Solanum lycopersicum: one gene and its partner. The protein of the gene in region 2 interacts with the protein of the main gene of each other region in a pairwise test. Links are inferred from orthologs where the notes say so. Each region holds a gene or a part of one and is shown on either strand. Other genes may lie near its edges.

The links. The genes of interacting proteins can lie anywhere in the genome.
Region 1: the proteins of cell division topological specificity factor homolog, chloroplastic (region 2) and septum site-determining protein minD homolog, chloroplastic interact in binary tests that used the Arabidopsis thaliana proteins (3 or more experiments, as listed by UniProt). The link is inferred for Solanum lycopersicum from reciprocal best matches to the Arabidopsis thaliana genes MINE1 and MIND.

Annotation. Positions count from the first base shown.
Region 1 is NC_090802.1:3,324,343-3,331,792, forward strand, and holds septum site-determining protein minD homolog, chloroplastic, read right to left. Parts: upstream 4,563-7,450; coding exon 3,567-4,562; 3' UTR 3,339-3,566; downstream 1-3,338. Other genes in the region: uncharacterized protein, read left to right, coding at 661-735, 1,062-1,312, 1,389-1,458, 1,563-1,874. UniProt on the Arabidopsis thaliana protein: Together with ARC3 and MCD1, regulates FtsZ ring positioning in chloroplasts in an ARC6-dependent manner. Calcium-dependent ATPase required for the correct placement of the plastid division site. Inhibits FtsZ filament and ring formation in the plastid.
Region 2 is NC_090804.1:6,242,615-6,251,405, reverse strand, and holds cell division topological specificity factor homolog, chloroplastic, read right to left. Parts: upstream 5,378-8,791; 5' UTR 5,079-5,377; coding exon 4,992-5,078; intron 2,200-4,991; coding exon 1,582-2,199; 3' UTR 1,348-1,581; downstream 1-1,347. Other genes in the region: uncharacterized protein, read left to right, coding at 8,110-8,358, 8,778-8,791. UniProt on the Arabidopsis thaliana protein: Acts as a topological specificity factor during plastid division and specify plastid constriction sites (such as the Z-ring) in a MCD1-dependent manner. Especially involved in epidermal plastids division in a FTSZ1-dependent manner.

The sequences.
Region 1 (7,450 bases), on a different chromosome or scaffold from region 2:
AGAAAATAAATCATGCTTTCTGTCATTACCAAATGCACTCTGAAATTTGAAAAACACACTGTACATTCAGTTGTTAACTTGGACTTTTTATTTGAAGTTTTAGTCAGTTTTTATTTGGAGTAGGGATCAGATAACTAGAACGAACAAAAAACAAACATTAGATCAAATGAATATGAAGTAGACCAGGTTCTGATATTCTTTTTTGATTCTGAATCTTCACGTGACCTAATATGAGTGCTTGACCTTATTCCATCTCTTGAAATATGCAGCACGGTTACAGTGTCACTTCAATTGAGTTATTATACATTCTTTATTTGATTTTGGAGGACCCGAATTTGCTTGTGGATTAAAGAATATATATTGACATGGACCAACAAATAGGTTCTAGGTCTTGTGAAGAAACTCTGTTTTATAGCAAAATTGTCAAGTCCAACTTTTTATTTCTGTTAACGAATTTGAAGCTTTACAAGTTCTGTATGGTGAGAACTGCACAGTATTCTTGCAGAAAAAATGCAAAAATATAGTGCCATCCATGTACAGTAATTTTTTGCTGTTTTCTATTTATACCTGCTCTCTGAATTATTTGAAGCAAGTGGCGTATTGAATACCTATTATTCCCGTGCATGTATGTAGTCTAAAGATATTATTTCCTCATTCCAGCTTCACAAGGGACATCATATTGCAGACATCAGCCTACAAATGCCTGGAGTCCACAATGTTCTTAATTCATTAGCAGTAAGTAAACATTCAGAAGTTATTTTTTGTTTTATCAGTGTAAGTAGACGTTTAAGTTGCAGAACTATTTTCTTCTTATATGATCTTTACTCAAATATTATTGGCTAAAAAAAAATGTCAGTATTAGTTAATCAATCTAAACTTGTTCATACATCAACGGGGCCAAAACTGGAAAATTATTTTATTGGCTGCTCGTGATTATATCATAGTTTAGACATCTGTAATTGAAGAAAACACGGTTCAGCTTGCTAAGTTGTTTCATTTCCCCACTGCTAGTAAAGACATATTTTGTTGAGTTCTGTTGCTTTGGATATTCCAACCGGCAGGTCATTGCAACAATCAATGCTCTTTCTACGGATGAGAAAAACTTTCTCAGTTCCATTGCTTCTTTGAAATTACGCTTGCAAAATTTTGAAGGTGTTTCTAGACGTTTTGAGAGGATAGGTACAGTCCGTGGGTGCCATATATATGATGACTATGCTCATCATCCCACCGAGATTCAAGCTACTCTTCAAGCAGCACGCCAGAGGTTTCCATTTCAAGAACTTGTAGTAATATTTCAGCCTCATACATGCAGGTATTTGCAAGAGTATTCTCCTTCCAAATTACAATTACATTGATTGCACAATGCTTGAATTTTTCATAATTTGCAGTCGTTTAGCAGCATTGAAAGACGACTTTGCTATTGCATTCACTAATGCGGACAGGGTTGTGATAACAGAGGTTTAGCCCCATTTTTGAATTCCGATGTTAAAACTGCTTAAGTTAATATATTTGTCCCCCTTTTCTGTCTTGGCTAAGGAGATGTAATTTGTTTCTGCTGCAAGATTTATGAAGCCAGAGAAACAAATCTGTGGAAGATCAATGGACGCGATCTTGCAGCATCTATAGTTGGCCCACCATCTGAGTTTGTCCCTTCCCTGGTATGCCGGAACAGAAAACTTCCTCACAGTTGTAGATGTTGGAGTTGCCTGAAATTTTGCTCTGATGTCCTTGTAGTGGCAAATGTTTTGAACATAAAAATAATCAAGTCTAATTTCACAAAATACGGAGTTCCTATTCTTAGGTCTCTAATGAATAAAAGAATTTCTCTTTGTGAAATGCGTTGGTGTGAAACAGAGGAACTTCTCTTTCTCTAATTAACTGTATATCTATCGTCGTTGTTCTAAGTATACCACATCAATTATAGTACTGCACAAGTCAACTTGTGTTTCATCTTGGTTAAACCCCATCTCTTAACGGTGTTTGACTAAACAGATACAGGTGTTGGAAATGCTGGTTGTTCAGATATCCAAGGATCCCGATCATGAAACTGTCATCATGACCCTAGGAGCAGGTGAACATTCTGATTTCCATGACTGGAAACCCTTGTATAACATTAGTCCATTGTCTAAGGAGATCATTCTTCACTAGATCGACCAAAAGGGAAACATGAAAACAAAGACAGTAATAGTAATTGTAAAAAAAGTACACAAATTTTACGCTCCTTATTTATGAGATTTGAATTGGACATCTTTTTTTTCAGGAGACATAACTTCAGTGGGTCGTAAACTACTAATTGAATTGCAGCACAGATTACTATAATATACTGCATCACGAGACTGGCAGCAAACTCAAGATGTTAATAGCCTTTACATATAATTGGCTAAATTTGAAGCGAAGGTTCCTAGAATTGTGCGCATTCATCTGCACTAAATATATGGCGGCAAGCCTGACCTCATGATAGATGATCTCGTCATGCAGATATGAAGATCATAATGTTCAACTGCTTGAGATGTTTGCATCCATTGATTGCTTTCTCTACTGCAGCAAATTCACCACTCTGGGAACAGACCTGGTCAATGATGCAGAAGGCATGGAGAAAGAAAGTACTGAGTTGCACCCCAATAGTATTTCTTGATCCCTATCAGTTCACCTCCCAGCATCACTGATCATCTTGATTCTTGACTATGCATATTGGTAGCAGTACAGTTCCTCCCTTTATGGACTGCAATCATGTGGATCTTGTGAAGGATATAAGAGAACTTTCGAATGTTTAGAGGATGGCTATTCACACTCAAAGTATATCCCCTAATTTCTAGTTTCTTGTTGGTGCATTTATGACTACAGATGATAGCTCGTCCTTTATAGAGAATCATAGTGTTGTAGGTCCTCTACTGTTGATTAATTGCTAGGTTAAGGAGATCCAAATTTTTAATAGAAGTATTTGTCTTGGCAAAAAAATGATCACCAATCACATGATTGGCTTCTTTTTGTAGAGCAGGGGCTTTTTGCCTTGTACAATATTGTTGTGCACTGTAATCAATTCTATTCAATGCTTATGGTAGTTCAAACAGGTTCCATTTCGATTGAGGCACTGTGCATATCAACATCTAATGAGCTGTCTGCAAAGAGACTACATAATTCTCTCACTAATACAGGTATTTTACACCCACAAATATCTAAATTTACCACTGCTGAGGGAAACTTATAGAAAATCTATTTGTGAGCACTGATTTAAGTACATGCATAGTAAGCAAGTAAGGCTACAGAGTGGAGATCACAGAGTGGACTGAAAGTGAGAGTAAGTAACTCAAATTTAGATTGGAAGAGAGGAGGAAAAATCACAGAAGCACATGACAGTTTTCAGCTCAAATCCAACAAAAACAAAACAGTTGCACTAATCTTCAACTATCCTACAAACAGAATCTTGAATAGTAATAAAGGAAGAATGCAAGCGTTTAACTCTCTACTATACACAGTTTTCTTGTGTCAACAGTACCTTCCAAAAAACACAATCAAACAATTACAGAAAGCTTACCAAAGCCACTACTAAGAAGAGAATCATTACGCTATCGTCCAAAAAATGAGAAAAATCCACGTTTCTTTGGCTCCTCCTCCATCATTACAGTCTCCATACTATCTTGCTCCACCAACCTCCAAGCTGCTTGCTCAAATGCCAGACCTGCCAAAGCTGGTGGCTTGTTCAACACAAGGGGATAACCTCTGTTAGTACTTCTAATAACTTCTGAATCCTCAGGTATTACCCCCAACAATGGAAGCCCTAGCATTTCCTGCACATCCAATACAGACATCATATCTTCCCCTTTTATCATATCAGTCCGAACCCTGTTCACAATCATCTTAATATCCCTAATTCCATCACATTCTAACAATCCTGTCACTCTATCAGCGTCTCTTAAGCTGGTAATATCTGGCGTTGTCACTAGTACAGCCTCATTTGCCGGAGTTATAGCCGTGATGAACCCAGCATCAATGCCGGCTGGACAATCAATGATGATGAAATCCGGACCACCTTCATCACGAGCTTTTAGGGCATCCACAAGCCAAACCAAAGCTTTCCCACCAAACCCTATCGGCAATTTGGATCTGGGCTTGGAAATACACAGCAGCTCGAAATTGGACCACCGCTTATCACGTACAAGAGCCTGATCAAGTCTGCAATCACCGTTGAGAACCTCGACAACAGTATAATTCACCCGGTTTTCTAAGCCCAGGAGGAGGTCAAGGTTGCGGAGACCAACATCGCAATCAATGGCGACGACAGAGAAGCCGAGCCTAGCTAATGAAAGACCGATGTTGGCGGTGGTAGTGGTCTTCCCGACGCCGCCTTTGCCGGATGTAATGACGACGACTCTCGGCGTATCTCCGGCGAGTTGAGGCTTGCGGTTGTACTGGAGCATAGAATGGATGGAAGGGTAGAAGTTTCTAGAAGGCCTGAAGGCCGGAATGGGTTTTAGGGTTTTGGGAGACAAGGAATTGGGAGGGGTAAAGGTGGAAGAGTAGAGAGAGGAAGGTTTAGGGTTGAGCGGCTGCAGAGATAACATTTTTGTGTAGAAGAACGAGAGTTGTATTTGAGTGAAAGAGAGGAAATTTCACAAGAACATGTTTCGATGTCGCTTAGCAGAAAGGAGAAGAAGACGGCTCTGGAAGTGAAAAAGGTAAGATATCTTTCTTGCAGCTAGGAGTTAAATTGTTTTAATCCGAATCGAAATTGATAACCCAGAGTAAAAAAAAAAATGTTATTGATTTATTAGTTTTGATGGCGGTTTTTAATTTTTTTGATATTAAATTTTTGATTTTTAACGGTTAATTGATAATAAATTATCTTTATATCATTGGGTGTATGAAATCAGGGTTAAATTTCATACTTCAATTTCTGTTTGTCTTTAACCGTTGAGTGTCAACCATGCTACCTTGTATCAATTTTTGCTTTTGAGCAAGAAATAACATGTCAATTCAAATTTATGATTTATTTGTTTGTCAATTTGTTTCTAAATGACTTCCAATAAAAATTTTAATGATTAAATTGACAATTATCAATAAGTTGAATCAATATACTTCAAAATTGAATAGATTGATACAAGATCCTAATGCTCTTAATTCCTCTTTTTCTTTTTGTGGTTATTTGTGTTTATTATTATTTTAGATAAGACATATATGAATGAGTCATTTGTGTATGTAGAAGAGTGAAAATGAGGAAGTTAATGATGTAGGTTTTGACTGGTATCTATAGCTATGAGTGTTACCCTTTACCTCCTAAGAGTATAAAGATGGTGTAGGAAATAAAAGGTTATAGATAGTTAAAAATGTCGTATCGTGCAATTATTCGAATTTATTTGTTTGGCTAGTGTGTGTTATCCTAGAAACAACACATTTTTATGTGTCTCATTTAATTTTTCTAAGTAGAATGACCTAATAGACTTATGTATCATATGCCCTTTAAATAAATCATATAAGATGACAAAGTAAAAAAAAAAGGTTTAAAATAGTGTTATAACTAATCTAATGATTCAATTGAAAAAGTGGTAAGTAAAAGGATTTAACTGATAAACAAAATCAAGTACAATATTCTCTCGAGTCATTCTGTCATTGTTTAACTATTTGTACTCAGTCTTACCTAGTTCCATGTGGGTTCCGTTCAAACCAACCAATTGTTTTAAATTTTCTTATTATGAATATACGGTTAAAAAAAATTATACTACTTAATTAGTTATCATAATTATACTTTGTTATAATTGTCACTTGCGACTAACATTAATCATATTATTTGGGTTGATTTTGAGTTTGTATAACTAATCGTGTTTGTATAATTCGTAAGTAACAATTTTTCATTTGATTTATATTTGTATACGATAGTTTGTATTTGTATATGACGATGATTTTCTTGGGTTTCAGTTTTATCACCATATATATTCAATCTTTTTACAATAACTTTTTAAAGTTTGTATAACTGTGTAGTTTTTGGATTATGTATGATAATTTGAATAAATGTTTACAGTTCATATGTTTATGTTTGTATCAATTCTTTATTTTGAGTTTCATATATTTGTATAATTTCATACTTGTATTACTCAATTATATAAAAATACGTGAATTGTACAAACATACCTGTGAATTATACAAACGAGATGTGAATTATACAAATAATTGTCCTCTCTTGCTCGCCTCTCTCCTCCCTCTCCCAATATCGCTCACTAGATATAAAACTACATATGTATACCAGTTACATATATACGATTATCTAATCGATTACATATACGATTCATCTCTCTCCCATTCTCTGTCCTCGCTCGCCTCTCCCTCCTTTCCCAATCTTGCTTGTCACTTTCCTCCCTATAACATATAGCTACGAATCAAAATTATCAAATTATAGCATAGAGCATAATTAAGCTATTTTTAAATGAATATATGCGAGAGTTTCCCTTCTTATTATTTACAATTTTAATTGAGTTATCATATAATCCTTTTGGAAGCCAGCGACCCAAAGAGGTTCTAAAAGTCCAAATGCTTATGCAATTGCCCAAGTGAGCACTAACATCTTCAGCTAGTGGTCCTAAACTTTTATTCTAAAGTTTTAGGAGTCAACATAATTTGGTTATATATAAAATTAAATGAAGTACAAAGTAAAAAGGGTTATTGTTACTTTAAAAATATGATAATTGTAACTTCAATAAAATGGCTATTTGTATAGGTAATGTATCTATATTGTGTATATGATATATAATAATCCATCATATATATATATATATATATATATATATATATATATATATATATATATATATATAGGTAATGTATCTATTTGCTTTCCTTTTATTTTGATTTTAGTTTCTTCACTGTTAATAAAGGACTAACTTGAAAGGGTAAAAAAGTGATATACTGAAAATAGATATCCAAGATTATTGTCAATTTAACCAATTAAGAAATAATTAGTCATTTTTTTCTAATTCCGCCCTTAATAATTACTTCATTTTGTTCAATTGAAAAGTTTGTAGACTTTTGATATTCTTGCTATAGTAGGGTTATATTAGTCAAATTATACTTTGTATTAAATTTTATTTGAGAGGAGTGCATGACCTTAACCTGACAAACAATTATGAACGGAGGAAGTAATAAACAAATGTTCAACGAAAATATATATAAGACAATTAAAATTGTTTATACAAAAACCATATTATGTATATATAAATGTAAAATCAAATCAATTCAAATAAAATTAATTTATTTAATTATTTTAAATCGATTTTTATCCAAATTATGAGAACACATAACCTATCATCTTTGCTTCATGCTTTTAGCATGTGACGACATAGTGAATGAACTCATCCAATTATAACCAACCATCCACTTCTAACCATACAATCTTTGATTCCCTAATCTACTCCAACTAATAACCCTATTTTCCTCCTCTTTTTTCTTTTTCTTTTTCTCA
Region 2 (8,791 bases):
TTAAAATAACTAAATATTAATGAGGAGAGACTCAAAATAATCTCTCAACTTTACGTTAAGACTTACAGTCTTGAGTTTTCACATGGAGCACTAATACTCTCTCATCTTTGCAACATTGATGTCCTTTTGGTCCTATCCTAAAACTTTTTGCCTATTTTTTAACATTTATTTTGTTCAAAATTTTATATAAGGAATGTCCAGTCGTCTTTTTATATATTTAATAGAAATAATAACTCTATCTGAGAGAAGGTGATAAGAAAAAAATCTTGTTTTGTTCACTAGAAATATTACTGCAACTAAACTAAGAACATCTTAACATATGACTTTATAGAAAAAGAAAAAATTATACTATTGCGCGTGAAATTATCGTGATGAACATCTGAACTTTACCTGCTATAAAATTTCTACTAAACAAAACAAATTTTTTTCTTCTAACATTCTTCGATATGGAGTTGTTATTTCTACTAAATATATAAAATGAAGATTGAACATCCCATACATAGGTTATGGATAAATCAATGCAAAAAAATAGGTAAAATTTTGAAGAAAAACCAAAAGTGCACCAATATTGCAAACATGAAAAACTATTAGTCCTCCGTGTGAAAACTCAAGAACCACTTTGAGCCTTAACCCAAAGAAGAGAGACTATTTTGATCCTTTCCTCAAATATTAATTAATCATTAATTTCAATATTAACTAGTGAAGATTAAAATTGAAATAACACTCTAAAAATACTCTTGAAAACTGAACAACTAATTAATTTGAAAAATGAAAAAATGTCTCAACAACTCAATAAATTTCTTGAAAACTGAACAACTAATTTAATTTGAAAAATGAAAAAATATCTCAACAACTCATTTAATTTGAAATGAAGGGAGTAGTAACAATATTTTCTCATGTTCTTTCGAAAAAGTCGTATTTATCTCCCAATTATAATGCATTAAGTTAAATATCAAGGTACGTATGATTTCACTACTTAAATCTCATCCAAAGTAAAACTGGACTTCTATTATTGCGATAGAATAATAGTAGTTCTAAATAAGAAAATTGCAACAAATAAATCGAATTAGTCTAACGATTTGTTTTTTTAAGATAAATTAGTATACAATATAGGTAATGCTTCTTTAGCTTTCTCTATGTATAATAAGAAAAATACCAACCAAAAATGTATTATCTTTGCATTTGGTTATGAATATTGATTAATCCCGAAAACCATTTTATATCTCATATAGAAGGTGATATATCCTTATCTATCTCATCTCGATAACCAACTTTTTCCGATATATCTTTCCTGCAAACAGAAATACTCTTTTACAAACACAAAAAAAATGCATTGAAGATACACACTTGCCTAAAAACAATGGTTACATATAACGAATTGTTACAAAAGTGTCTTGGATTGTAACCAATACTAGCAAATTCATCGAACACTCCCAAAAGGGATTTTCAGGTATTTACAGCAGTCTAAGTTGATCGTAACACCTACTAAGTATGTTTAAAAAGGTGAAAAGAATTTATCAAATGCCAGACAAACAAGACATTTCAACCCACTTTCCGGTTAGGCAAAGGCATGTACAGGTTTCACATACCATAGTCATTGAAATTCTCGTCTGGAATGTAAAAGTCGAACTTGACATCAACTGAACCAGAATTATCTCCAGTGTCTTTGTACTCAACATTTGTTATTGTCCCAGTTGGATCCTCTACCTGGTATTCTGATCTCACCCGTCTGACTGGCACTGTGACAGAGTAGATTGTCCCTAGGTCTGGATCCGTTGAGACGCTCAGCTGTACTTTCTCCTGCGATTCTATTTCCACAAAATCAGAGAGAGCACTAACGACGTTGCTTACAATCTTCTGTTTGGCCTCATCACTGACAGCACATCTATCAGAGAAGAGAATCATCCTCAGGCGTTGCTTAGCAACATTAGCAGCAGAATTACTTGCCGAAGGGGATGGTGGAAACATTATCTTCCAAGCCAAGCTTAGGCGCTCAAAAAAGCTCATGCTGATAGCATTGAGGAGTAAATTATCAAATTCCTGGCTGATGGAACTTGCTGCTACTTTATAGTCTCCAAGAATCCCAAGAGGCTTTCTTGAGTGGCATCGGAAGCTATGGCTATCAGATGATAGACGAGACCATTTGGGCAACACCTCAGAGGAACTAGATCCACCATTAAGAAAGGCACTAAAATCTACCTGCAATGTGAAAGAAAATTATCTTTCATTGTGGTCATGATACAAACAATGGGAAAACACAACACAAAAATTTAGGCACATTTTATGAAATTGTTTACAAGATGCTAGGACGCACACGCTTTCCTACATATTGCACAGCTTGTAGGAACCATTATTTCCCAATGCTTACAATTTTTCTGACACAGCTTTAGTAAAAAGCACAAGTAGAGATGCAAATATTAAAAATCTACATTCAAGCATGGTTTACCAATAACCCAATCTTTGAAAGTGCTAGGATTCAAAAGATATAGAGAACGCACTTAAAAGGATATCGGCAAAAGTTTTTCGTTGGGGAATAAGTAAACATAACCATTTTATTGCTTCTTCATCTATCAAGGAAAAAAAATATAGTTCAGCATTTGAAGCAAACGATAAATCCAGGTGAATCAATGAATAAACATATTGCACAAGCATATCCACTGATGAGTTAAGAGTTCAAAGTACTTTTTACAGAGACGCACACATGGACCCAATTGATGCAAATGTATGACCATGAATATTTTACACCTTGAGCACATCTGATCCAGCTTGGACACAACATCTCACATTTAGCTAGGCTCTAAGATCCAAAGAGGGAAAAAAGGAAGACAAAATTGAACTAAAACTAGAAATCAAGGAAGCAACTTTTGAGCACATATCGACCTGGTACCAGGCAGAATGAAGAAGACCAGTTGAACTGTGAATCACATTTAGGGCCCAGTTAACTAATTCAACCATCTCGGCAAAAGAGACGAAGACCAAGTAGGCACCAATTAGTCTAGCCTTTTCTTTTAAATAGGACCTAGCCAGCTTCTCTAATATGCCGCGACACAAATATTCGGTATTAGAAGTGTCAACCACTCAGTCCTCATTGCAATTATAGGAACCATATTAGGCGTTATTGAAGAGGTCTCAAGCAACAAGACCACAAGTACATATTTAAGTCTGATAATGTCAATGGTGCATGTTTTTGGAAAGGCTATGCACCAATGGCATTACCATCTGTGCAATAACTACATGCCTATAAATCAAATTACTAAAAAAATGTGGCTATGCTAACATGAACAGGTGTAAATTAGTGCTATGCTAACATGAGCAGATGTAAATTAGTCGGAGTTAAGGCACCAAATTCACGTAGAAAATGTTAACTGTTAAGGGAAAAAACAACCAAAGTTCCAAACAACATAAGCTCAAACGAATCAATGCATTGAGATAATTTTGAAAACTTTACTGTGTCCTAAGTCCTAACAGAAAAGCCATCATCTCAAGAAAGAAGGAAAAAGTGTAGTGAATGTCCAAGCAATTCAGTGGGAAACACTCTCTTCCACTAGAACATTGGTTGAGCCTGAGTTAATGGGTTGTTATCTCCTCACATAGTCTTGGACAATCCTTACCTCATGAGGTACCTTTTCATGTTGAATTAAGCCCAAGGTTCATCACAACCAAACTCATCACTGTTCTTAGTTTACCCAATGGACGCCCATGTTATGTTCTCTACACACCAAATGTCCAGTTCGGTCTGGGTTGGTGGGTGGGTGGGTGTGTATGAGCATGGGGGTGGAGCCGTCCCATATTTGAGGGAATGGTATGTTTTCTCCGTACACAGTCTAGCACAATCCTCATCTCATAGCTAGCTTTTGAGGTCGCATAGACCCTAAGTTCATTTTCTTCACATGTAAATGAAGTAAGCCAGAAGAAAAGTGGTGATTAAGATTATGTCCATCAACTCTTATTTAAAGCGGGAAAAAAAACTAAATTAATTTAGTCATCAATAACCATACAGGAACTTTCCTAATACACACACACCAACAACATGGGACCATTACCCAAGCTTCCGTCACAAAAGCAGGTCCAGAATCATAAGCCAGGGGTGTGGAGTACCTCTAAGCTCACTACTTTTTTTTTGTAACAAAATATGCTCAATTGACTGTAAAAATACTTCTAAAAAAGTTTCAACATGTGTGTGTGTGTACATATAGACCTCAAGCAAAGGCATTGGGACTCATGATCCCTGCCTTCACTGTTGATCAACTCCTGTTCACGCATGCCAAAAGAGAATTAGCAAGAAAATCCTTCACCTAACAAGTCCCAGAAGCTCCAAACACATCCTTAAATAGAGCCCTGATCAATAAGCTAGACATTACTCAGATGATGCTTCTCACCTATTTCCAAACTCCATCAACCATAGTCCATACTAGCCCTAGCTACTTTTCCCACTTAGCTTAATCAGCAGTAGGTGGAAACAGCTAATTCACATAGTTACCAAGCACTTACTCATCTTTTAAAAAACACAAGACACCTAGCACTTAAGCCCTCCAATTCTGAAAGTTTCTCAATCTTAGAACTCTACATTCAAAACCGAGGAGAAAAAAACGAATCTTTGACTATAAAAGAGTACATTGTACACCTCCCAACAGCAACAGGAATCCAAGTAACTCTATCCACCCATGCTAGAACAAATGAGAAGAAATCACCTAGTTTTTTTCATTTCTGCTGGGATTTCAATCTGAAACCTCATGATGCTCACTTCATTCACAAATCACAACTACTTGTAAACAAATGTAGACCCATATCACCAAATTTTAAAAAAAGGTACCCAAGAAAAGCTATAGAAATTTCCTCAAAAATTACAGTAACACAATCTCTTAGATTTGGCGAAATGATTGGATGAAGCTAACATTCCCATAAAGTTAACAACTTAACAAATTCCCAACAAACAATTCACTTAAAATCGTATAAAAAACATGAATTTGTTAATCTATGAAAAGTCAAACCTTTGAAGGAGGTAAAGAGGTCCGAAGTGGATTCTTTGGGTATGGAACCAATGTAGCGGAGACCCTAAAATCTCCTGAAATTGCCATTTTTCTCTTTCTCACTGCTTCTACTTCGCACAGAAACGGAGGTTAGGGTTTGGAAATGGGAACTTTCAGGTGAAATTGCCAATACAGTAGAGCTCACGCCAACCCTACGTACTCAGCTCATTATTACGACGTCGTTCCCGGGTACATGTGAATTCTTTTGTTTTGATCTTTAGGGATTGTGTTTTAGTTATGTATTCGAATAACTAATCTCTGCATAAAATTTCGCTTGAGATAAAAATGGTAAATTTAAATTTATTGACGTGACTCGAGTATATACAGACTGAGATGACCGAGAATGCGTAATTTAGGGAGAAAATAACTTGTTTTAATCAATATGAATGAATAACGAGTGTAATATAAAATGAAATTAAACAGTAAAGTAATTGAATAGAAACACCTCGAGGTCTGGTACTAGAATTTGGTTGCGGCATCGGGCAAGTTTGATGTTGTTGATAATGAACAAAACAATGAATGACAAAGCTTAATAGAGCAACTTTTGTAGAACACAACCTTCACGTAGACTCTCCTTGACTCACGTCTGCAATTGTTATGCAATTTTTGGAGGAGGAGTATCGCGAATCTTTCGATAGTGGTTGGGCTTCATGCTTATCATATTTAGGTATGGTCCGATGTCAAATCTCGACGCTCTAGAGCTAGGCGGGCTTGTGGATGTATAAGTGTAGTGAACTTGGAATGTCTTGGAACAAGGTTATTTCTTTTCATCACCGTTGAGAATATATTCAGTGTCATTAAGTCAAACCTGAGCTGCCACTTCCTTCATGTGTCTTTTCTCGATTCAGCACCTGACTTTTTTTTACGAACATAGTGTTTGATTGAATGCATTGAAAAGAATCGACTTAGAATTATAAAATAGTGATTTTACGATTATCTTAAAAAATATTTATATAAATTATGTAAAAATAAATACATTATTCTACACAGAATGAAATATCTAAAGATGAAAACTACTCGTTTAAGGTATGTAATTATCTATAACAATAATCTCTTTAGTATTATATTAATACTCGCAAACCAATCTTCATTACTAATAATCGCATAAACAACCAAGTATTCACCTTATTGACGGTTTCAATAGAAAAGGGGGTGAAATTAGAGACGCAAGGTAATACCAAACAATATATTATAATTATTATTATTATTAATACAAGAATAAAAAAACTCAAATATGCCATTGAATTTTTAGAAAAAACTTATTTATGTCATCCGTTTAAAGTTTGACTCATCTATGTCATTACCGTTCAAGAAAAGGTTAATTCATGCCATTATTTTTTAACAGTGATTTTGCAAAACCATTTTGACACGTGGCCAATTGTAATTCGGCTATGTCATCAATTTTTTAAATAAAAAAATCATAATTATGAAGAAAAAAAATTGAACTAGATTTTTTTTTGTTTAAAAAATTGATGACGTGGCCGAATTATAATTGGCCACGTCATAAATTTTTTAAAATAAACAAATTAAAATTCTGAATAAAAATTGAATTAATTTTTTAAAAATTTTCTTTATTAAAAAAATTTATGACGTGACCGAATTATAATTGATCACGTGAATGATTTTGCAAAATCATTATTAAAAAATAATGGCATGAATGAGCCTTTTTTTAAATAGTAATGATATAAATGAGTCAAACTTTTAACTGATGGAATAAATGTGTCTTTTCTGAAAGTTCAATGACATATTTGAGTCTTTCCCCTTAATACAAAGTATTGATTTTTTAAAAGGAAACTTTGACGTATAGCCACTAAATTAGCGAGATTGAGAGAGGCAGGAGAGAGACGAGCGAGATTGAGAGAGAGACGAGCGAGAGAGGACAGAATGAGAGAAATTTGAATTGTATATGTATATTGGTTAAATAATAATATGTCTTATACATATGAATTTGTATATATGACAAGTGAGATAGCAAGAGGGAGAAGAGAGGCGAGCGAGATTGTGAGAGAGACGAGAGAGGAGAGCGAGAGAGGGAAAAGAGTGGGAGAGATGTGAATTGTATATGATGGTTGAATAATTGTATATTATACATATGCATTTGTATATTTTAACAAATAATACATATATAAACGTGATTAATTACATAAACTCGAAATCAAACCATGTAACTAATTTATAAAGTTGTGGTACGATTATCTTAAATAATATTTATATAAAATAGTGATTTTATGATTATCTTAAATTTGCTTAACCGTAGGGAATATTCTAGTAGTATCAACAAAAACCTTGTTGGATCAGTTCCACGTGTATCCACCACTACCAGCCTTTGCATTCTTGTTCATCGACCAAAATTGTCCAATTTTAGCCATGATTTTTCCGGTGAGTCATTTTCTATTAGCTAATTTTTCCGGTGAGTCCTTTTCTATTAGCTAATTTTTCAGGTGAGTTCTCTTCTATTAGCTAAGAATTGGATATTATTGACTCTTATGATTAAACTATTTGTATCCTATGTGTTTGATAAATTTCCTGAATGAAGTCATTTTTTAAAGTAAATTTTTAGATTATGCGTTGTTCAAAACTTTGGCTGAAAGAATCGGTGTATAACAAGGATTAAGCTACAAAAATGGTCAAGGTGTTTAATTTTTTGTATTTTTTAGGCATAAAAGGAGGAGGAAATACAAAGGTATAGTCCTCATTTAATGACATGAAATTTCTTCACTACTGTTTTGCGTTGTTTTTAGTAATATAACTAAGTTTCATTTTCAAAATAGCCTCTCGGGTAAGGTCTGCGTACACAAAATACTCCACTTGTGGGATTATACAGCGTAAGTTGTTGTTGTGTTTTCCTTTGCTATCACTTTTTGATTTATTGGATTGAGGAATGGGTAGTCATTCCTGATGCTAAGTATGGCTGTAAGATTTTGTTCTTGTGGATATATTTTTGTAAATGTAGAATTCGTTTGTCTTATGCATAACATTTACACATTCTCATTTACTTGACTTGTGGGTTTAACAGGAGTAGATGAACAAGGGGAAACAGTTTTTGAGTTCATTGATCGACAACAGCTAGCCAGGGAGCATGAATTCAGTAACAGCATCGGCATCAGCATACATTTCACTTTCACTTAGCATCTCGCCTCCTACTAGAAAAGCGCGGTCTAAATTTCAGCTAGGCAAATGCAAACCCCTAATATCGTCCAATTTTGACTGCAAGTGCAGGGCTCTGGGAGAAGGCTCTCAGCCAGAGACACAGTCCCAGACGATCCAACCTACAATTTATCAAGGCGTTTATGGCCCTTGGACAATCGAAGACTCTGATATTCGAGAGGTAAAACCAACTCCACCCTGTTGTGCCATGCTGTTTATATATTAGTTTAACCTAGAGATGTTGCATTTGAATTCGTTGCACAACACTGTTGAAGAGAAATGTATGCAGCATAGCTTAAATTTAATTGAAGGTTTCTGGCACTTTGTGCTCCTACAATAATATATTTATGCTTACTATATTTCTAAAGGAAGGATGCTAATATTAGCAATCTAATACACTGAAATCGGTTTGCATTCTTTTTGACAATGTTAATGAACAAAAGATTCTCCCTTCATGTTCATTAATTCTTTTCAGTTTTGTCTTTGTTACTATGTCCCCTGCCTGAATGAATTTTGTTAGATAAAACAAAAATTTTCTTCTTGCAACAATCAAGATGGCGAACTCTCGATGATGCAAAGTTAATGTTATCAACTTTGCAGGTAATTTTGTACAG